2 linked regions of the Mytilus edulis genome follow. The protein of the gene in region 2 binds, or shares a complex with, the protein of the main gene of each other region. Links are inferred from orthologs where the notes say so. Each region holds a gene or a part of one and is shown on either strand. Other genes may lie near its edges.

Region 1 (12,308 bases), on a different chromosome or scaffold from region 2:
TTATAGCCGACAGATAAAGAGGAACCTATAACAGCCCATTCTTGTTCATTCTGACCATCTACCTGTAGTATCTCTTCTGCTTTCCATTCTATAAATGTCCCTTCAGGCTGAAATTTAGAACCATCATGTTAGAAAACACAAATTCCTTATCACACAAGACAACAATTCAAAATCATATTTTTGTGAATCTTTTTCAACCAAAATTTTTCAATTACTTTCAATATGTAGTTAGTATATATTACTTTCAACATATATATTATATGTTAGTATATATTATGATTTGGTTTTTGTATATATTTCAAACAGTTAGACAAAGAATGATGAATTTATGATGAACACCATAAAAAAAGGGTGATGTCAGGTGCACAAAATAAATCTGTAGTTAGTTTCATTAGATAATGTCACAATAAAGGAAATGAGGAGGAGATAAAATACAGATAAAATACTATCATAATTTCTTTTGAACTTATCAACTGTTTTAAAATGACTACTGTCTTTTCGTTTCATAATTATATTACATGTATGTTTCATTTCGATACATTATTTGATTGGCCAACAGCAATCTCTTGTCATTCTGAATTTGACCTTCATTTCAGAATAAAATGCAACATTCATTTTGACACCAGCTTCCACAAAAAAGTGCATAAGTAATTCAAAGAAAAACTTGATGGAAATCTTGTTTTCATGATCCTAGCAAAACAATGTAATCAGAAGTATTGAATGCTTTTTTGGTAATCTTTAAGGGTTGAAAAGGTGTTGACATTTTTTTGTACATTAGTTATTTTTCTCCTTTTAATTGATTTACAATTGCCATTTCAGGATGTTTTATAGTTGACTATGCAGTATGTGGTTTGTTAATTGTTGAACGCTGAATTGTGACCTAGTTGTTAATTTCTGTGTAATTTGGTTTCTTGTGAAGAGTTGTTTCATTGGCAATAGTACCACATATTCTTTTTTATATATAATATTCTTTATTAAACCAGCTTCATTGGTACAACAGTTTTACCTTTTGTATTATAAACACCTTTCCTGGAATGTGTGCATCTTTGTCTGAATGATGTGAATTCACATTAACATGGATGAAAACACTATCTTTTTCAAACAACACCTACAATAAAAAAAAATATACAAATTTAAAGCTTCTACCACAAATTATATACATGTATATGTTTATTTATATGTAGTTCTGTACACTCACATCAAATCTAATCATATTGATGTGACATGAAAAAATATGTAAAATCTTAAATATACAACATTTTGTACAAAGTACAGTTTGATAACATGTTAAAACAAAAATATCTTTTGCAGTAAATAAAGAAGACAGGGTTGACCATGTCAATTATACACAAAGATTGTTTAAAAAGATTTCTAACTAATCTAATATAACAACAATTTTAATAGACAACTTTCATGACTATCATATTCATCTTGCCCTTTGTTTAAATTTCCCATAAAATTCCAACGTCACAAATCTTTAATGTTTTTAAGGCAAAGTAAGAACTGATTGTTCATTTACTTTTACTACTCATTCATTAAAAAACAAACTTGAAATTGGTGTGTTACAAAATTTTAAATCAAAATGAATAAAACTGAAGCAGAAGCAGCAAATTTAAAAAAGTAAGAAATCATCACAATCATGACAATAAATGAGTTCAGAAGATCTGAGTGATAAACTGATATTGTAGGACAAGAATAATTCAGAGTTTTCCTAATTTAGTTTTACAGTCTGAGTAGGCCCTGGAAAGAGTTTCTGAAGAATTCAACTGGAGTTGTTTAACATTGCAGTTCATGGAAGTGATAACAAATATAAAAATTTTCAAATTCTAACCTTCTTGGTTATCAAAAACAGAAATGCCTAGATGTTTAGTTTTCTTATTGTGATCATCATAAAAAAAACTTAGAGACATATTGCTTGTGATGATTTTAAGGTGCAGAGTTCTCTGCTTTCAACATATTTTTTGTTTGAACCCGTCTTCATTTTCTTACTACTTGAAGACCATTGTCCTATATAGTCATAATAATAATAATATAATAATAAATTCTTTATTTAAAGAGGGTAACTCAATTAGAAATAGTCTAATTTTCATTGAGGCCCTCAAACAAAATACATGCATACAGTTAACATTCATACATTCATACATTAATTTACAATATATATTACTAGTATATACACAATTCAATCATTGAAATATACAAAGGGTAATAAATGACAATATTTGATATAGTTTTGTTAAAGGAAAACAAATTAGTTGACTTGCATATAATTTTCAAGAAAATGATTATAACTATGTTTCTTGAATAATTCCACATTAGGACATTTTTTTTATTTCGAGTGGTAAATTATTCCATACTTTGGTTGCAGAATAATGAAAAGATTTTTTATAAAAATTTGTATTTGGTCTTGGAACAAAAAGATCATTATTAGAGACAGATCGTAAGTTGTGGCGTTGCACATCATCAATATTTAGTATTGCTAAGTAATCAGGTGTTAGCCCATTTACAATTTTATACATTAGAATTGATTGTTGGTATTTTATTCTTTTGGTAAAAGATAGCCATTTTAAAGAAGAAAACATGAAATTAGATGGAATAGAAATATCGCATTCCAGTATAATTCTTGCTACTCTTTTTTGAAGTTTTATGATTCTATCTGAATCTTTTTGTAATAAATTTCCCCAAACTGAACTACAATAGTCCTTATATGGTAGAATATATGCATTATAAAATAGTTGCCTTGTGTGTATTGGCAAATATACTTTAATTTTATATAAAAGTGATACTTTAGATGAGATAATTTTACATATACGATCAACATGATCTTCCCAGCTTAAATTTTCATCAATGTCTATTCCAAGTAATTTGAAAGAACACATGAAGAATGGACATTCTCAATACATGTTTCGTTGACGGTAATACATAATTCTGATAGTTGTTTAAGTTTTTGTTTTGAACCCAATTTCATACACTTAGTTTTTTGTGCATTGATTTTCATACTGTTATTGTTACACCAAATCATTTTGCAATATGCTGTTTATTTTTTCAATGTCATGACTCATATATAAAGAAAAATTCTTTATTTGTTGATTTGAAGTCATGCCCTCTAACAAATTTGACCTCTTCATTTACCTGTACATGTACATGTAGGTACAACAATGTAGTATCTATAGATACTTGATATCTTTTAAGGCCAAATAAAAATACATGTATATGTGTGGTTCCAGTAACCCTACCGTCCCTACTTTTTCGGCTTAAAAATAGCCTACCCTAAAGATTTTATTGTCATTTTTCATTAACCCTTTCGCCGATGAGTCCCGGTTTACCGGGATCGGAATACCTCTTTTATGTTTCCCGCTCAAAACAGTGCAAACATGAGTTATCTTTCTTTGATGAATACCTGGATGAAAGTGTAAACATGGCGCTTTCGTTTGTTGAAAACCGTGTCAAAATCAGACGAAATTTACGGAATTTACGAGAATTTGAAATGAGGGAACATTTTTTATGAAAGAATATGGAAGAATTGAAGACAAACTAGTATACTTTTTTGACATAAAATGTCGTTTTATGTACAAAACACTTGGAATGGACATCGTTCAGTGTGAGGAATTTGTACAGCCTCATAAAATTTTTCAAAATTTTGCCCTTTTGGGTGTAAAAATTACGATTTGGGGTTTAAGAGCAGAATTTTGAGAATTTCACCAAAGATAAAGCTGAAAATTTGAAAATTTGAATATTTTATGAAGAAAAAATTATCAAAACATGAACAGAACTGTGAACATGGTGTTAGTGAATGAAATAAATACACAAATAACTACAAACAAGTTTTTATTGACATATATTATGAAGATCTCCCACTTGAGTAATAGTAGCCTGGGAAGCCATCGTCTCAGAGTAGCTTAATTCTGTCTGGGCAGCAATCAGTGAAAGAGTTTAGCACTGTTAAAGTCAGAATGTTGCTCCCTTAGCTTTCGGGTCGATCCGGCCCCACGTCGATCCAGCCCAAGTCGATCCGTCCCACGTCGATCCGGCCCATATGTAAAGTCGATCCGGCCCCAATAAAAAAAATTATTTCAAGGAATAAAAAATAAATATATATTATTGCGAACCCTATCTTAGTTTTCCATAGATTCACCTGCAAGTTACCTGTCCATTTAAACTTTTGGCAGTTCTATTGTCCCATCTAACAAATACAACAGGTATTGTTATCTGTGTAGTTTATTCACTGGGACCTTTAAATTTCTTCCAAGAGAAATATATCACTCATTGATTAATTTACCTGAACAAAAAATTGAACTGTTAATGATGAAAAAATACTTATACCAATACTAAGTAAGGACTCTCAAAACTGCATGTGGTATTGTATTTATTCGATACCTGGAGTAACTCGTTTTTAATGTGTTCAATATTACATTTATAATACTGATTCAAAAATTAAAAGTTGATTTCTGATCAAATATTCAATATTTTTGTGTGTTTGATAAATAAAAATTTGAATATTATTATTTTTAAATTAAGGTCTTCATAAACATAAGTCTATAAAATGAACAACAACAAAAACATGTAAATTCATTGGAAAATACTAAAAAATGTGTCTGAAATAAACTTTTTAGTATTAAACCAGATTTTATATTGAACAGATTGAAAATATATTAATGATAATATTGAATAAATACAATATTGCATACAGTTTATGTGAGTTATTAGAAGTATTTCAATAAAAAAGAAGATAATTTTTTGGTCAGGTAAATTAATCAATGAGTGATATATTTCTCCTAGAAGAAATTTAAAGGTCCCAGTGAATAAACTACACAGAGAACAATACCTGTTGTATTTGTTAGATGGGACAATAGAACTGCCAAAAGTTTAAATCGACAGGTAACTTGCAGGTGAATCTATGGAAAACTAAGATAGGGTTCGCAATAATTGTAATTCATAAATGTTTATTATTTTTATTATAATATTTATTATAATAAAGTAAAAAAGGCCTTTGAAAAATATTTTCTTTAGATGAGTATAAAACAACTAGGTTGATTATGTCTTTATTACAAGTTTTCAAGATTATTGGGTATAATTATATTAAAACGTATATATAAGAATTCAGACATCAACATTAATCAGCAGTAATTAGCATTTTCTTTCAATTGACTGTGATCCTAACAAGTCTTTCATCTTGTGTAACATGTATAATAACAAATAGTTACATACATGAACGGTACAAGCCGATCCCCAAGCTGATACATATAAACTTTGTTTTTCTTTTTAAGTTCTTAAAATTTCTAAAATTGAGAAATGTTGTTTGATTTGCCGGATCCTTTCTATAAAAGAGTGCTGATATTATATTTTAGAGAGTGAAAACGTGCATTCAATGTCATTGTTTTGTTATTTTCTTGCAATAAAGAATAATGGATACTCATATGACTTTTTGTTTATCTACACTATTCAAAATATTGTCGAAATAAGAAAAATATATTGACTATATCAGATGTTACAAAAAAAAAGTGTTATAGAATAGAATATTTTTATATGTTATAGAAGCCTATGATGTAACCTAAAAAAAAAATACAAATAATTATTATAATATACACCAACCAGAAGATCAAACTATAAAGACCTCGTTGAAAAACAGATTACGTAACGTTAATTAATCAGCATTGGATTGAATTAAGTGATTACAAGTGGCATTACCTTAGTTCACAATCATCAGACAACTGTTGAATAAACAAACCAATTATAGACTAATGATTTTATTAAATAAGTCATTATTATGCGTTAAATTTTATAGGTCCATTGGACTGTAAATATTTATTTAGCTACATGTATTCTGTGTGTCAACTGAATAAAATAAAAATCGCCATGAAATTCAAAGTGAAAGTTATGGAAAATTACTTCATAATTTTAAAATGTAGAAACTGCGATACAAACAGACACAATAACACTAATTTTCGTATGGATTTAAAATAGTTCGTTAACTGGTACTCCAATACTTCACTGACCTGTTGTCATCCATCATCGATCGGACACTTTTTTCAAATTCAATTTATACTGTTAAAGTTTGTGACAAATTCCTCCAAAATCTAGTTAATTCATATTTTTTTATGGGTCGGATCGACTTTGGGACGGATCGACGTGGGCCGGATCGACTTTGGGCCGGATTGACTTGGGGCCGGATCGGTTTGGGGCCGGAACGACCGGATACCCTCCCTTAGACTCAATGTAAAAAAAAACCATAAAATAAAAAAAAATACCTACCTACCTACCCTAACTTTATTTTCAGATGTAACTGGAACCACACATACTTTCTTATTTGGCCTAAGTGAAATATGAAAACAATAAGCAACTCACATCTGGCTTTCTCTGTTTATTTCTCATCATTCTATGATGCTTGTATTTATGATTGTACTTGTTATATCTAGATCGAAGACCAAGTTTCACTTTAATTATTGGGTGCATTTTAAAGATGGTGCCTTTAAAGATTTATTTTTGAAGACTACAGCTTTGCTTTACAAGTTAAGTCATTCAATTTCCTACTCTTATAATCATGTGTTATTTACCATGACTTACTCATTCTTATTCCAGAAGAATTCTTAAAATAACCGTTTACGGATGTACATGTGACATATGACCAGATAATTTTGAAATACCATTCATGACTGATGACACTGAACTGCTGAATAGTGAATATTGTTTTGTATCTTGTCATAACACTATACCCTACACTGCTGATCATCAAGTGCTAAAGGAGGGTTATTCTATACGCTAGAACACATTATGTAATTATTTTACCTGTGATTGTGTTGCCATTTCTATATTTATCTAAACAGTCGATTTCTGACAGAATGTTTTGATTTTGTACATGACGTCAAATCACCTGTTGCCGCTTAAATCAATGATTATGACAAGGTTTATTTCGATTATGATTAAAATGTGAGAATAATATAGCATTGTTCTTTTCGCTATTAATTTGAATAAAAGTAATTTTGCTTTTCATTGATAATCTTGAAAGTTATCAAAGTGCGAAAAATGGATATGTTTACATTTGTCCATGATGTAAGGGTCTTAGCGGAACTTCCTCGTGACCTCCCACCATGACGTAAAATATAGAAACGCCATGTTGCTGTATTAAACAACGTCGGAAAGAAGTGAAAACACTGAAGACAATTTTATGTTACACCTTTTAACCTCTTTATGACATATACATACATAAACTGAAAACAAACTGTTAATAGGAACACACTATGGCTGGCGTTAACGCCGGAGGTGGACGTAATTCATTCAAAGTTGTTCTTCTTGGAGAAGGATGTGTTGGAAAAACGTCTCTCGTTTTACGTTACGTCGAAAACAAATTTAACGATAAACATTTAACCACACTTCAGGTACATAAAATTTGAAGCATGTATAATTTATTTGTTGTATGGTCACTTCGAATTCATGCATTGCAATTTGATTTCCAGTAGTAATTTTCTATCAATATCATTAATAAATTATATACCAATCATTAGAAAGGCAAAGATCATGACACTTGGCCAAAACACTTGTCTCCCTGCATACCTATTCTTTTCAGATCTGTTCACCAAAATTATTCTGTGTTGTGTTTTATACATGTTATAACAGTGACAGTTTGGAACTCACTACCAGCAACTAAAGCTGAGGCTCCCTCCTTGGTATCTTTCAAGAGGGAGCTTTCAACACTTTTTATCTAATCTGTGCAGTTCCCCATTTGCCAAGTAAGTCAAATGATGGACTGGAGCTGTGCCAGCTGGGATTATTTTTCCCTGGTACATGTACCTCTAGGGAAGCCGGATTGGTTGAGGCCAGATGAACGAATAGCAAATGGGACCCCCCCCCCCGTTTTCATACATTGCTTTACTATTATTATTTTTCTTTTTCTGTCATACTTTATACTCGCTTGTATATTCTTTGGTTATCTTACAAAATTGCTCTTTTTTTTGCGCCCATTGGAAGCTGTTTTGAGTATTGGTCAAGTTTGACAGATCAACGTAAAATGTCATGACATGTCAAAAAGCGTGTGAAAACGCGTGACGTAGATGCGGACTTGTTAATATGAATGTGGTGATGTTCATAATTTCATACAAATTGTGAATATAAAAAAACAATATATATTCTACTGTGAACTTTTATTGTATTAAAAAGTGGTCTGTTATGTTGCTTTTAAAGCACCACCACTAGGCACATATTGAAAACAACTGCCATTTCAAGTTTAGTTACATTTATTTGATAACAGCACACAATACAAATGTAACATAGTCAAGTTCTGATCAGAATTCAGTGTCAATTTCTTTATAATTGAAAAGGCTCTCCAACAGTAGGAATTGAAATTTGACTGAATTAGCTTTATCAAGATTTGAAAGAATGTCATGTTTTTTTTTATTGGCAATGTAAAATGTCATCTATTATCTCTGCCATTGCTATTGCCTGATTAAAACTGGGTAGTTCATCAGAAGAAAGCTGGTACTATGAGAGCTGATTCAACAGTTCTGTGATATTTTTATCCCCATATGCATGGCCTGTAGAAATCTGTTGCCGTGTTTGCTAGATTTGAAACTGAAATTGAAAAAGAAAAATGTTTTATAAATTTGATTTCCATTAGATAAACATGTTAAATGCTTATTCAAATAGCTACATTGTATTTCTCCTCTCGAGCTTATGCCATCACTTGGCGTCCGTCGTCGTCCGTCGTCTGTCGTCGTAAACTATTTCAAGAATCTTCTCCTCTGAAACTACTAGGCCAAATACTTCCAAACTTTAACTGAATGTTCCTTAGGGTATCTAGTTTATAAATTGTATCCAAAGTTTTGATCTATCAACAAACATGGTCGCCATTGCTAAAAATAAAACATAGAGGTCAAATGCAGTTTTTGGCTTATAACTCAAAAACCAAAGCATTTAGAGAAAATCTGAAATGGGATAAAATTGATTATCAGGTCAAGATCTATCTGCCCTGAAATTTTCAGATGAATCGGACAACCCGTTGTTGGGTAGCTGCCCCTGAATTGGAAATTTTAAGGAAATTTTGCTGTTTTTGGTTATTATCATGAATATTATTATAGGTAGAGATAAACTGTAAACAGCAAAAATGTTCAGCAAAGTAAGACCTAAAAATAAGTCAATATGACTGAAATGGTCAGTTGACCTCTTTAGGAGTTATTGCCCTTTATAGTCAATTTTTAACCATTTTTCGTAAATCTTGGTTATCTTTTACAAAAATCTTCTCCTCGGAAACTACTGGGCCAAATTGAACTAAACTTGGCCACAACCATCACTGGGGTATTTAGTTTGAAAATTGTGTCCGGTGACCTGGCCAACCAACCAAAATGGCCGCCATGGCTAAAAATAGAACATAGGGGTAAAATGCAGTTTTTGGCTTATAACTCAAAAACCTGAGCATTTAGAGCAAATCTGACTTGGGTAAAATTGTTTATCAGGTTCAGATCTATCTGCCCTGAAATTTTCAGATGAATTGGACAACCCATTGTTGGGTTGCTGCCCCTGAATTGGTAATTTTAAGGAAATTTTGCTGTTTTGGTTATTATCTTGAATATTATTATAGATAGAGATAAACTGTAAACAGCAATAATGTTCAGCAAAGTTAGATTAACAAATAAGTCAACATGACCAAAATGGTCAGTTGACCCCTTTAGGAGTTATTGCCCTTTATAGCCTTTTTTATCATTTTTCGTAAATCTTAGTAATCTTTTACAAAAATCTTCTCCTCTGAAACTACTGGGCCAAATTAATCCAAACTTGGCCATGTGTCCGGTGACCCTGCCATCCAAATAAGATGGCTGCCACGGCTAAAAGTAGAACATAGGGGTAAAATGTCAAAAACCAAAGCATTAAGATCAAATCTGACTGTGGTTGAATTGTTTATCAGGTCAAAATCTATCTGCCCTGAAATATTCAGATGGATCGGACGACACGTTGCTAGGTTGCTGCCCCTGAATTGGTAATTTTAAGGAAATTTGCAGTTTTTAGCTCACCTTTCCTAAAAGGAAATGTGAGCTTTTCTCATCACTTGGCGTCCGTCGTCGTCGTCTGTCGTCGTTAACAATTTTTCAAACATCTTCAACTCTGAAACTACTGAATTGATTTGTATGAAACTTAGCATGATTGTTCCTTAGATTATCCTGCACAAAGATTGTGCTTCGATTTTTGATCCGTCAAAAAACAATGCCGCCGTTACTTAAAATAGAACATAGGGGTCAAATGCAGTTTTTGGCTTATATCTCAAAAACTAAAGCATTTAAAGCAAATCTGAAATGGGGTAAAAATGTTCATTAGGTCAAGATCTATCAGCCCAGAAATTTGAGATGAATCCAACAACCCATTGTTGGGTTGCTGCCACTTAATTGGTAATTTTAAGGAAATTTTGCAGTTTTTGGTCATTATCTTGAATATTATTATAGATAAAGATAAACTGTAAACAGCAAAAATGATCAGCAAAGAAGGATCTACAAAGAAGTTAATATGACCAAAATTGTCAACTGACCCCTTAAGGGGTTATTGTCCTTTAATGACAATTTTTCACAATTTGTTCATCATATTTGCTAACTTTAAAAAATCTTCTCCTCTAAAACTACTCAACCAAATTCAACCAAACTTCATTTGAATGATCAGTAGGGTGTATAAAATAAAGTTTGTGTTTTATTTTCTATTTCGTCAAAAAACATGGCCGAAGGCATTGTTTACCAGGTGAGCGATTCAGGCTCTTGAGAGCCTCTTGTTTATCATTGCAACGTATAATGCACAAATTATGCGTTGCTTGTCACTCGATCATATAAACTCGAACTCCAAAATATAATTTATAAATCTTGAATCTTCCCGTACACAGCGTTTTGGCTTAACAATCGGCACTTTAGACGACGGTACAGGCCCTGAAAGTGACCTCTTTTTGTGCACATTTCCCCTATCAAGTGAATTTGAAAGAAAGTCACAAAATCGTTAAAACTAATCACAAACTTCTTACCTTTTACTGTTTGTCCATATAGAAAAATAAACAATAAGGCAGCCAAACAATTACTTCAAATTTTTCAGTATTTATCGCCGAATAAGGAAAAAACCCGAGAATAGCAATATCACTAACGACCAAAAAATGAAAAGAACGAAAAAGCGTGTAATTGCAAGTAAAGTGGTGGAAAGCGTGTACACGCCATGTGACAAAATCCTCGCGTGTAACTGTTGAAAAAGCGTGTATGACACACGAATATCATGTCACTAAAAAAAGGACGTGAGACAATATGGCCCAGGCAGAGACAACATAGACGACTCAGAATGTCTACTAGAAGGATTCTTTATGAACACAATTCGAACCTACTGTTAAATTCAATTCAAATCATCAATAAGTAAAATTGGACCATCTATGAAATTAAATGCCAACCACATTTGTAAGATCAAGTATGAAATAAGAGTTTTGACGAAACAAATGATTTAATCTGTCTGAAGAGAATTCTCTATTAAAGTTTCAATGTCTGGATTGATTATTGAAATGACGAAAAAAGACAGCTCAGTGTCTACAATGGACAACTTTGGAGTTCGATGCATATCCATCAAAAACTTTGGTTTAAATGAACATCATTCATGCATTAAGGGTCATTGCCACTTCGGTCCCCGTGTTGAGCAAGTGGTTGGAAAACTATAATGCTACATTGAATATTGCACTGTTCATTTGGCAAATTGCATTCTCATAAAATTTTGACAATCAGCACTGCTCTTATTAGGGAATTGTGATTATGTACATACAAAAAAACATTATTTTTGATGTTATCCTGCACAATGACAATCACTAAGACCATGAAGACGTTTGATGAACGTTAATAGTGCAGTGATACAGGCGATCCCCTCTAAATGGTATATAATTATGATGTCATAAAGGTGGGGCTTTGTAATGTTTTATTAAATTTTTTTTTTTAGAATAATTCAATTAACATTATATCGTCTTAACTGACTGTCAATTTAATTTGATAATTATCATGATTATTACAGAATAACAATTTTAAGTAACAAATTGATTAGGCCAAATAAAAAAGTATCTGTGGTTCAAGTTATATCTGAAAAAAAGTTAGGGTAGGTAGGTAGGGATTTTTATACGACCGCAAAAATTTTAATTTTTCGTCGTATAATGCTATCGCGTTGGCGGCGTCATCGTCGTCCAAATACTTTTAGTTTTCGCACTCAAACTTTATTAAAAGTGAATAGAAATCTATGAAATTTTAACACAAGGTTTATGACCACAAAAGGAAGGTTGGGATTGGTTTTGGGAGTTTTGATCCCAACGTTTTAGGAATTAGGGG
Region 2 (11,568 bases):
AAATTGGACCTCATAATTTTAGTATTATAGATATATGAGTAGTCCAAATAATTATTACGTCTGGCAAGGCTTTTTTAATTTTATTCTGGGACACCTTCCTATGACCGCAAGGCTATGTTAATTATTTTCTGGGACGCCTTCCTACGAACGTCGTAGGAAGGCGTCCCAGAAAAAAAATAAAATATCCTTGCCAGACGTCATAATTATTTGGACTAATACATGAGATACTGGATATTTTTATGCATTATTTTAACCAGTTGAGCATTTTACGGGATTTTTGGTTTAATGCTGTTTAAACTTTACTGAAAAAAAAACACCTTAAATTTGCTAATTATTTGGCATGAAAGTTTGATTTATTGAAAGGGACTCATAGTTTTCCATTTTATTTTGATAATTGTCTATTGTTAGAACAACAGTTGGGTAAGGGCTTCGTTGTTTACCTTTATACACAACAACATATTCACTTTGGTTTCCTTAATTGTTTACCTAAATGCACAACAACATATTCACTATGTAATTGGTAACAGTTATTAATTAATTGAATAGAAAATATTATAACAAATATTATTGGATGCTGAATTGACGTCAAATAGGTGCCGATTTGACTAGATGCCAATTTAACCAGGTGCCGACTTGACTTGTACGTTTCAATTCCTCTGCGATCGTTTGCGGTATTTTCTTGAGAAAACCTATTTTCCATCATCAAAGAGAAGAAGAAACTGCTTGAAAATGATTCTGGAACGCTTCATGATTGTAAAAATAAGTTTAAGGTTTATGTACCCTTCTGTAGCCATTTTTGTACGAACTTTTCAAACTTCAATTATATCAAAACTACAGATATAATGAATAATAGAGATAGGCCATTTTGTACATATTCCAAGGGGAAACTTGATGCAAAGCATTATTTTTTACTGTTCCATTGCATTTAATAGAAAAAGAGGACTTTGTGGCTAATAAATCAAGATTTTTATAGAAAATCCACAGCCTTTATCCTTGTACTCTCATATTTGGCAATTTGATGACTGATAGATATAGGATTATTGCATGCAGTGCTAGCATTGATTTCCTTAAAACAAGTTTATAAATGTAGTTATTGGTTAAGACAAGTATAAATATGGCCAAAATCAAGTACACCTTTTAGGGTGCGCTCGACTTTAGTGACTCAGCACGAGGTGTTTTGGAATTTACAGGTTACTTAGAACTTTTTGTAAAAAATAAACACTAGCACATCATAGAAAATCAAGTGAGTAATTTATGTTTCAAATTTTATAACAAAAAATTCTGTATTAAAGGCTGTGGATTTTCTATAAAAATCTTGATTTATTTGCCACAAAGTCCTCTTTTTCTATCAAATGCAATGAAACAGTAAAAAATAATGTTTTGCATCAAGTTTCCCCTTGGAACATGTACTAAATGGCCTATCTCTATTATTTATTATATCTTTAGTTTTGATACAATTGAGGTTTGAAAAATTCGTACAAAAATGGCTACAGAAGGGTACATAAACCTTAATTCACTCAAATAACAATTTTGAAACTTGCGATGTTTAAACAGGAAGTTTCAAAAGCACGTGTAAAAGAAGAAATTAACCGGTGAGAGTGGAAATCCGTACATGACAGATATCACTATAGTACGACTTTGAAAGTAAAACAGTTCCATCCTTTTGTAAAACAGTCTTTAATATACCTATCACATTAATGTTTGAAGGGTCTTAAGCTTATTCAAACCATATAAGTCGGTATGAAACACCAAAACGGAATGAACAATAACCGATTACATTTTGTAGTTTACAAATTCTAAACTGGTTCCCGTCAAACTACAACACTTTGTTCGAGTGTAGTGGAATACAAGCAGAAACCAGTTAGATTGTATAGTAAATATGAAACCGAGTGTAAACTGGTTCCTGGCTGATAACTACACAATGATCATGCATAATGATAACACAAGCAGATTCCAGTTTGTATGGAAAATAGTAAATACGAAACCAAGCGCGGTAGGCAGAGAAATGTAATGAAGTTCAGGTCGGCAGTAATGGAACAATGACTGCGTCATTTTCCAAAAACTGGCCCCTCTCCAACTCTTCAATATTACAATGTTGCACAGTTTAACCTAAGAAAATGTCAAAGAAAATACATTGTATTTTCCCCAACAACAACACAAATACTTCCTTGATTCAAAATTTGCAACGCTCAAAATAATAAAATGAAAATGAAGAAAAAAAGATGATCTTCATACTATATGCCATATACTGTTGCTCGTTTCATAACGTTTGAATCATCGCCTCTCCTCTGGTAATATTCATTGCCCCCCTAAATGTGTATATATGATACACCGGAGCAATGGACGGTTATTTTAGCGTATAACTGCGTTTTACCTATAGTCCTGAACATTCATGAAATATTAGCCACTGGACGATAAGTGACAACTTCGCGTCTATCTTCCAAACATGTGTATCATTTTTTAGCAAATCTCGATATTCCACTTTGACAATTTGCTGAAAGTGTACTGTAACAAATACAAATAAATGTGAATCTTGTTGTTAAATTTAGACTAACGTACTTCAATAATGTCATTGAAATGTTAATCGTGCAACTCGTGCTTAAAAAATTCCCGCGGAAATGTGTGTACTCGTGGTTTACGTAAGTACATGTAACGTATCGGACATAAGTGTATTTGACACTATTTCTCTGTTTAATTAAATTAAAATCGTGTATTATTTGCGATATTGTTTTTAATTTTTAAATAAACATGATTTAGAAAAGAATGCTGTTTTACTGGATAAAACAAGGACTCTTTTAACTGTTATTGTAGGAATGAAATACGTGCTCCCTTTACGTTCGTTTGTACCTTTCGTCAATTTGTAAGAAAGCTCTAATAATACATGTACATAAATGTAATAGTAAGTCTATAAATGATGTAAATCAATTCAACAGAAACAACCAAAGATCTGCCATCAAAACCAAAATCTCTGAAAGCTATAAATATCAAGATGTGACAGAGAACAACCAACAATGAGGCCCCATAATTTTGGACAGATACATGTACATTGTACTAGAAAATGTTATGGTTTTAAACCAAATTAACAAGCCCTCTAAGTCTAAATATTGTCATGATTGATAAGACATGTGAGAGGACCAACAAGACATAAATACCAAATATTTTATACCATAAAAGTGTTTAAATACCTCTTGGATTGCTGTTGTTCATCATGGTCCTGCTGAGCCTGCTTTGCTTTCAGGTACACCTCTTTGTAACATTTAGAACAAAATCCCTGCCAGTTTGGGTTCCCATAGAAACCACAACCGTTGTCACACAACAGGTCATCTTTATTTAGATGGAAACCTTTCTTTGCAACAGTAGCACTCATTCTGTGCTGTAACTATACTGAAATAAAATCAAGGAGATACTGTAAATTTATTCTGAAATTATTCTGTGCATTCATCATGTTTATTAAGTCATGTAAGTGACTGTGATTGTTGCACAAGTGACAAAATGTGAAACTAATTATTTTAAACATTTGTTAAATGTGAAAACTATCCTGTTGCAAGTTTAATCTCTGCCTTAAGTTGCCTCTTTGTCTGTAATCAAGTATTTTGTAGCTCGACCACTGTTCTGTCATTTAGTGTCATATTAATATCCTATTCCAACCAATTAATTGCAAGCATCAGTCATGTCAGTTGATAGTTCATGCTATGTATACCTCTAGCGAAAAGAGAGACTACTTTGGCCCTATAAGTTAAAGTAGAGAATATTTATACTGAAGTTGAACCCTGGCTGATCCCTAGCTATTGGTACATAATGCAATGTAGCGAGAGCTTCCCATTTCATGACAAATTTGTAACAAACCATATTGTATCCCTAACCATACTTGCACATACATGTTAGTTCTCTGAAAAAAAATGTAGAAATCAGGCCTACTAATAAGAACGGATCAATACAGTTGTTTTAAATAAGGAATAAAAGGAATCAGTACATTCTAATACGGGTTAGTAAGGATATAATTAGGTTGTTAGATCCTCTGTCAAATTTGGTGCATGCTAAAATTGTTACAGATACACAAGCACTAGTACACATGACTACGACTATGCTAAGGAAATATACGACCATAACAGATTGCCATGAACAGACAAAAGATGCCAGATTGTATCGGATCCGTTGGTAATCCAGTGTCAAATCTGTCAATGCATGAACTAGGCATTACTTTGAAAATCCTTGGTGTAGACAAGGACACATATTAGAGTTATGTTAGTTATATGTCCTTGATGTAGATAAACATCCATGCTAGTTGTTAGATAATTATGCATATGGATGGTAGTCAAAGCTTGCTTGAAATAGAAAGTCTAGAAACAAATCATAAAATGGGCAAAAGTGCATAGAACTGTCTGATATGAATTACTATTATACTTAATGTCTGATGCACGTAGCTATAATATTTATACATGAAGTCTGCACAGTGCAATGCAAAGTACTATGGAAATGTTGTTTGTTTGGGTTTTTTTCATTCCCAGCTAGACGGAGAGAATATAAAGAGCTTTTTGTGGAAGAAAACCATCAATTTTGAGTTAATGTAATGTTGAGTTACCTGATAATATTATCATTTAAAAGATTTACTTATGCTTTACCTGTTGATCAAGCTTTAAAATATCTATAAATGACACATAACTCAATTATTGTCACAAGATCATTCTTTTTGTATCGAACGTCTCATGAGGTGAAGGTCGGGAGGGGAGCTAACTGTTACGCGCAAACTAAAATAACAATATATATTATGTCCCATTAAAACTTATCGTTGAAACAAAATTAAGGAGAAAATACATAAAAACAATTTGCATATGATAAACACGACACCTTTCTAGTTTCAGATAAAATTCAATTGTTGTATTGATTATTTACTTTAGTAATTCAGTAACCTGTATTTATCTTCTCTCAACAAAGGGGGCGTGGCAGATTCAAAGTGAAACTGAAAGTTGAGGAAAACAAAAACGTAAGTAATGCTCATTCAATTCGTTTATAAACAAAATATGTATATGACGATGAATCAAAGTTTGGCACAGATCTGACAATGATTACATTTGGAATATTGCTTATGCATAATCAGAGTTCAGTTTTATGTCAGTACCGTCGAGCCTCCTCAAGTTGCCAAGGTGGCTATAGTATAGGTTTGTATTTCTGACATTTCTCATTGTTTATGTATTATTTTTAATATCATGTGTGTTTATTTCAGTCTAATCTTCATAATTTAACAATGATTGGTTTATTTCATCTGTCACACATCTTGTTTAGGTACGAATTACATCGCTCTTGCATAACATTTTTTCCATAAGTTATGTAACTCTGAACATGCTGAACTAGGAAACCCTCCCCCTATTTAGGTGTCGACCTAAATGTTAAATTATTAATAGAGATCGAAGCTTGCTTCACTATTTGGATAGATAATGTGTATTGTTTATTTTAGATTTATGCCATTCTATCTCTTTTTTTTCGTTATCACAAATGATTGTAAAGTTAGTGTTGTATCAATCTATTTTTATGCAAGTAGACATACATTAGCACAATATCAGGTACCATATGGTAACAGATGGACTTGTAGATAATAACCTCATATCTAATGGGTCTATCGTCCTGAACATGCATGTGATATTTGCCACTGTAGGTTAAGCAATCAACAATCAATATAATGGGTCTACGAAGTCAAGGATAGGTTGCAAAACGAGATCATAAACGAAAAAAATATTAACTGTTTTCAAGTAAGAACCAATTTAGAGACATTCAAGTAGGAACCTTATTTTATTTCTCCTCCATTATAACGTCAGAATTTTAAATTGACCCAGGATAGAATCTTTCAAAAGTACATGTATTTGTGTATAAATATTTTATAATAATATTTAAATATCAAAATTAGTAGTTGTGGTATGATTGCCAATGAGACAACTCGTCACTAGAGACCAAATGACACAGAAATTGACAACTATAGGTCATAAAATATATATAAATTATATCTACAATATATATCAAGGTAAATGTCTTGAATGTAGGTGATACATCAAATAGCTGTACTTAAATATATTAATATTTTGACACAGTGAGTCTGATAATATCATAAAAACACTATGCATTCCTCTTTAATAGAGTGCTACCTTTTATTATTAAAACATAGATATAGGAAGATGTGGCATGAGTGTCAATGAGACAACTCTCCATCCAAATAAAAATTTATAAAAGTAAACCATTATAGGTCAATGTACGGCCTTCAACACGGAGCCTTGGCTATAAGCTATAAAGGGCCCCAAAATTACTAGACGTGAAAAACCATTCAAACGGGACAGCCAAATGTCTAATTGATATTAAAAAAAAAACGAGAAACGAGAAACACGTATAAATTACATAAACAAACGACAACTACTGTACATCAGATTTCTGACTAAGGACAGGTGCAAACATTTGCAGCGGGATTATACGTTTTAATGGTACCAAACCTCTCCCTTTTTCTGAAACAATAGTATAACATGTATAACATCACAAAATAGAAAAACACACGATAAAATATCAATTGGAAGGCTTAACTCAATCAAAAAACGTAATTTAACACACTATGAATGCATACATAAAATTTCTTGTAAATTCCCTCCCCTGACTCACTGTGTGAGACTAAATGATGTATGAATCAACACGATTGACGTATATGTAATAGTCAATTATTATTCTGTCCATCTTGTATGGGAAAGGATTTATACAGGCTGAGCCTTTTTTCAAGTCCCTTTGTTTGAATGCTTAAACAATAAATTCTTTGAATTGAATCGAACTATATGTCACCCTACGGCCTTCAATAATGTTTTTCTCACGCATTTTCCAGTCCAAAGGTCACGTTCCTGGGGGTTAAGCTTAATCCAATCTGATGTGTGTTAGCTTTAGAATTTACATTGCTCTGATTAAAAATAAAACAAAAACCAACACTGTCAGTATCGGACTACCAATTCAGGACTAAATGGGAGAAAGAAATACATGTTGAAGGGAAAGAACTATCGTAATAGTTGTCAGGGTTGGTTTTTTTTCTCAAGCCAATCCAAAAAGAAGAAAGTTCATCCCAGTTTTATAGCTATATTGATTTGCAAGATAGGATATTGAAATGTCAATATATGATATCTTGACCATTTCTAATTTATTTTTAAATTATTTGGTAGGACATTGTGCAACCTTAAAATTAAAAGTTACTGTTATAATTTTCACGTGCACAGACTATTCCGACTGCATGAAAGTAGTGGGTTTAACCAAATTAAAAAAAAACCTACCAACATATGAACGTATGATCTGGTTAACAAATTTCGAAGATAAATGACGTTAATAAAAACTTTAGTCAATAAATGTTAACATAGAAAAAAAGTGCTTTAGTTTAAAATCTTGGATTATTCGTCCACTAGAGAAAAATAAATAAACAACAAAATTCCCCTAAATATTATGTGAACTATCCAAAATAAGAAACATGACAATCTTATTCTTTCAGTCTTAACTAAAACGAAAGCAGCATGAAAGCAATCGCGGATTCAGAAAAATTGAAAAGGGAAGTAGGGGGATTCATCGTATTCCTAATTTCGACATTTTTCAAAATCATCGAAAAACAGAGATAGCCTTTTTGTGATGTTTCTACAATAGCAGTTTCAAAACACAGAACAAGTCTCTTTTGTTGGCAGTCTTTCAACAAATTCAAGAAATCTGCATGTTTGTGACTATATATATATTTTTCTAAAATCTCATCTACGTATGATACCACTAATGATTTGCAAGAATCAAATCGAAAATGGTATTTTATACCAAGTTTTCAACGGTAATGTTGTTTACAAAGCAAATAAGTTTTAAGAAATACCCGTCAAGTCTCATTTTTGCTAATTGTAAAACGCATTTACAATTATATCATCGTTATGCACATATGATCACATATTGTTCTCTTATTGTAATGTTTCTTCCTTGGTGTGTTCTCTTATTCCTGTGGTCGTAGCTTCAATTTTCATAAAACTATAGTTTAACCTTTGACATGTAAATGCACCTGAGCTGACATGCACAAGTAAGAAGCATTGTCAGCGGCTCTTGTCTTGAACATACATGAAATATTTGCCACTGGAAGTTAATCAACCACACAATCAATCAATCGTCTGCGGATTTCTATGTTGACGATAACATATCTATGGTAGTATTTTTTAAAATCATTCGCTTCTCTTAGACTTTAACCATTTGTGATATGGATTCAAATATCTGTTTGAATATTATAGGTTTTTTTTCCTTTTTTATTTTCGATTTTCTGTTTTGGTTATTTTGTTTCATTGACATTATCATTTATATACACTACACTTCTCCCTTTATGATCAGAAGATATATATACACTACACCTCTCTGGATATAATATCGTTATATTCCACTTATAAATGAAATATGTTGTTTTAATGTATGTACAATTTATATCGATATCAGTGAAGATCTTTTCTTTTACAGTAGTCTGAAATAAATCAAACTGTCGACTTGTGTTCGAGATGTAAACCTTAACACATACACAAACTTAGTACAAATGGTGACTCTACCCAGTATGTTGCAGGCGCCTCTGCAGGCTTTACTTCGACCTGCGATGTGGATTCCAGGCATAAAAAATATACACAGCCATTTTGTGACGTGAGTTAAGCAATATTGTAAAGACTTTTTGCCTAAACGTTCAAATCATACCTTGCAGTGAATAATCACTTTAGTATATATGTAGGACACAAATCTATGGTGGGTTCCAAATCTATGGCAGATTCCTAATCTATGGTAAATATGACGTCATGCCATTCCAAATCTATGGCAGATTTTTTAACCCTAATCTAAGGCAAGTTTTGTAATTTCCTAATCTATGGCGGATTTGTGTTGTAAACATGTAGGTGCATCATGATTAGAGGATATCCAGAAGAGTAGAAAGGATGTTATATTACATAGTATTGGTTTTTTTTCATCCCCCTACCCCCCCTCCCCCATATGAACCGTTTCCCTTAAGATCTGCTATGCTTTATCTAAACATAAAATGCAAGTATTATAGCGAAATGGGTAAGAAGTGGAAGTTTGATCATAAGACAATGGACTCTATGCACATTCATCATTAATGTGTTTCTTCTTAGCAAATGATTAAGTAATTAACAGTGTGGTAAACCCTGATTTTTTTTGGTAAAATATATCACTTTTAAGAATAACAACAGGTAGAGGCCACACATTTGATTGGGAAATATATTACTTTTAAGCATAAAATTGTCCCAAAAAAATATCCCCTCCACTCGGCGATACTTCTTTTCGCCACAATTCCGACCCCTTTAAAAAATCCTGGGTCCGACCCTGAACGTTACATATCGGGTTCACATGTTTGATTCAGACTTGATAAAATTTTGATGAAGCATTTGTTTTCTTAAATGAAGATGGCAGTCCGACAAACCCCCGACGGAGGTACTAGCTGCATTGGTTACTGCTATTAAACAGATCAAGTCTTCAGATGACACAGGTTCATTTTATGATATACATAAGGTAATTATTATGATTTTTTTATGCAGTTAATCTGCATTATGCGAGCACCCTAGATTTGTGGTCTACCCAATAAATGCTGAAATACTTGCCATTGTTATTATCTAGCTGGCTACTATGTTATATATAACTAATTGAACACTTTTTTAATACTTTTAATTCTGGATTACAAAAAATATGACTAGAAAAACCTTAAATGATCGTCGAATCACCCAAAACTTTTGAAGTTGCACATAGGAAGTAGTGCTCATTAGGAATTCTTATGTAGTTTATTATCGCCTGTGCTTTTGGCTAAGATGTCAAAAAACAATTGTACGAAATATTTAATCGCCGAAAATCTTTTAAGACAAGTAGTTTAGATTTCCCAAATGGCAAACGTCGTAGGAATATTGTTTGTCGTCAATACGTAGTACAACTACGTCAGTAGTCTATTATATAATAAGTTCAACTGTTCATGCTGTTGGCGGCAATTTTAAATTAGAATACGAAGACAAAATTCGTATCTTTTCAATTTGGAGGCAGGGGTTCAAATTAGCGGTGGTCCGAGGTACGCGACCTTCCACTTTCGACTTGGTTACTAGCCACGCCCGACGGGCTTTCCACTCTGAGACAACTATATCACAGTTATAGTAGTCTCAGTTCCACTTGAAAGAAAATAAAAAATAGCTTTGCAAACCTTTTCGCCAAAGTCTCCAAATAAACGATCTCAAAACTTGTTTTAATCATTATTATTCATGACAGCGATGTCAATTTTGTTCAATCGCTAGCTATATACAGAAAATCGCCGACAAAAAATGTGTTAATACGAGTAAAATCGTATCTGACTGACAAAAACAATTGTCATCCTATCCCTTCCTGTTTGAGAACTTGAAAACCCTCGAGATCCCCACCCCTAAACCATATATATTCATGTATGGAACAATATAACAAATCAAATGAAATATAGGGGAAGTCTCTGGGGTCACCCTACCCCTTCCTGTTTGAGAACTTGAAAACCCTCGAGATCCCCACCCCTAAACCTTATATATTCATGTTTGGGACAATATAACAAATCATTTACATTTACTATGGGCAGGTCAGTCAGACCTCACCTTTGATCCTTGTAGTAGTGAACATTTGTCTGATTTGTGTTGCATAACTATTGTACTATAGAACACATACTCAGTTTTCTTTACAGGGAAACCAGTCCATTCATACTATTACATGTTCTTACTAAGTCAACACGTACTACTAACAGTCAACTAAAACAAACGTTAACTACCAACTAGAACAACTACAATCATTGCGAACTTGTACCACTGCAGACTCACCATAAAAAATATACATTTATATATTCATTGCTATTGAAACATTGATAACATATAAATTATTTGCCTTAATAATTAGTTCATTAGATAAACATAAATGTACAATATATGAATGTTTAACGCCACATCAGAGGCGGATTTAGAGGGTTTTTCAGTGGGCCCGCTCCCCCCTTCCATTTTTGAGAAAAAAATTGATTGATTATATAGGTAATCACTGAAGCATGACTGGAGCAGGTCCCCTGTTAGGCAGGCAGTGGGCTCCCACTTATGAAAATTTCTGGATCCGCCACTGCACATAATTACGTTTGCCTGGTTTTTGGTTAACTGCCTTCAGCGCTTACAGCGCTTTGATTTTATTAAACAACTTAAAAGTCCCAAGTCAGGACCCTGTAATTCAGTGGTTGTCGTTTGTTGCTGTGTTACATATTTGTTTTTCTTTATTTTTTTTGTACATTAGTTATGCCATTAGTTTTCTCGTTTGCATTGTTTTACATTTACGATTTCGGGGCATTTTCTAGCTAACTATGCGGTATGGGCTTTGCTCATTGTTGAAGGCCATACGATGGCCAAATAGCTGTTAATTTCTGTGTCATTTTGTCTCTTGTGAAGATTTGTCTCATTGGCAATCATATCACCTTTAAAGAGAATCAATAGAATATCAAAGGATATGGGGTATATATCTATGATCTATCAAAGGATATGGGGTATATATCTATGATCTATCAAAGGA

Evidence for each region.
Region 1: the proteins of rab5 GDP/GTP exchange factor-like (region 2) and ras-related protein Rab-21-like are in contact, whole or in part, in a crystal structure (PDB 2OT3), measured with the Homo sapiens proteins. The link is inferred for Mytilus edulis from reciprocal best matches to the Homo sapiens genes RABGEF1 and RAB21. Residues at the interface, in NP_001273991.1 of Homo sapiens: Leu253, Cys254, Lys296, Phe299, Asn300, Lys303, Pro309, Ala310, Ser311, Ala312, Asp313, Phe315, Leu316, Pro317, Ile320, Leu347, Met348, Thr349, Gly350, Glu351, Gly353, Tyr354, Tyr355, Thr357, Asn358, Cys360, Cys361, Ala364, Phe365, Ser373; in NP_055814.1 of Homo sapiens: Ser19, Phe20, Lys21, Gly26, Glu27, Gly28, Lys32, Thr33, Leu37, Thr50, Thr51, Leu52, Gln53, Ala54, Ser55, Phe56, Ala71, Trp73, Asp74, Thr75, Ala76, Gly77, Gln78, Arg80, Phe81, Leu84, Ile87, Tyr88, Asp91.

Annotation. Positions count from the first base shown.
Region 1 is NC_092353.1:62,762,813-62,775,120, reverse strand, and holds the start of ras-related protein Rab-21-like, read left to right. Parts: upstream 1-7,035; 5' UTR 7,036-7,235; coding exon 7,236-7,373; intron 7,374-12,308. Other genes in the region: TBC1 domain family member 15-like, read right to left, coding at 1-107, 1,007-1,108, 6,343-6,450. UniProt on the Homo sapiens protein: The small GTPases Rab are key regulators of intracellular membrane trafficking, from the formation of transport vesicles to their fusion with membranes.
Region 2 is NC_092349.1:73,076,783-73,088,350, reverse strand, and holds the start of rab5 GDP/GTP exchange factor-like, read right to left. Parts: upstream 4,755-11,568; 5' UTR 4,623-4,754; intron 3,385-4,622; 5' UTR 3,368-3,384; coding exon 3,186-3,367; intron 1-3,185. Other genes in the region: uncharacterized protein, read left to right, coding at 8,558-8,658, 9,429-9,534. UniProt on the Homo sapiens protein: Rab effector protein acting as linker between gamma-adaptin, RAB4A or RAB5A. Involved in endocytic membrane fusion and membrane trafficking of recycling endosomes. Stimulates nucleotide exchange on RAB5A. Can act as a ubiquitin ligase.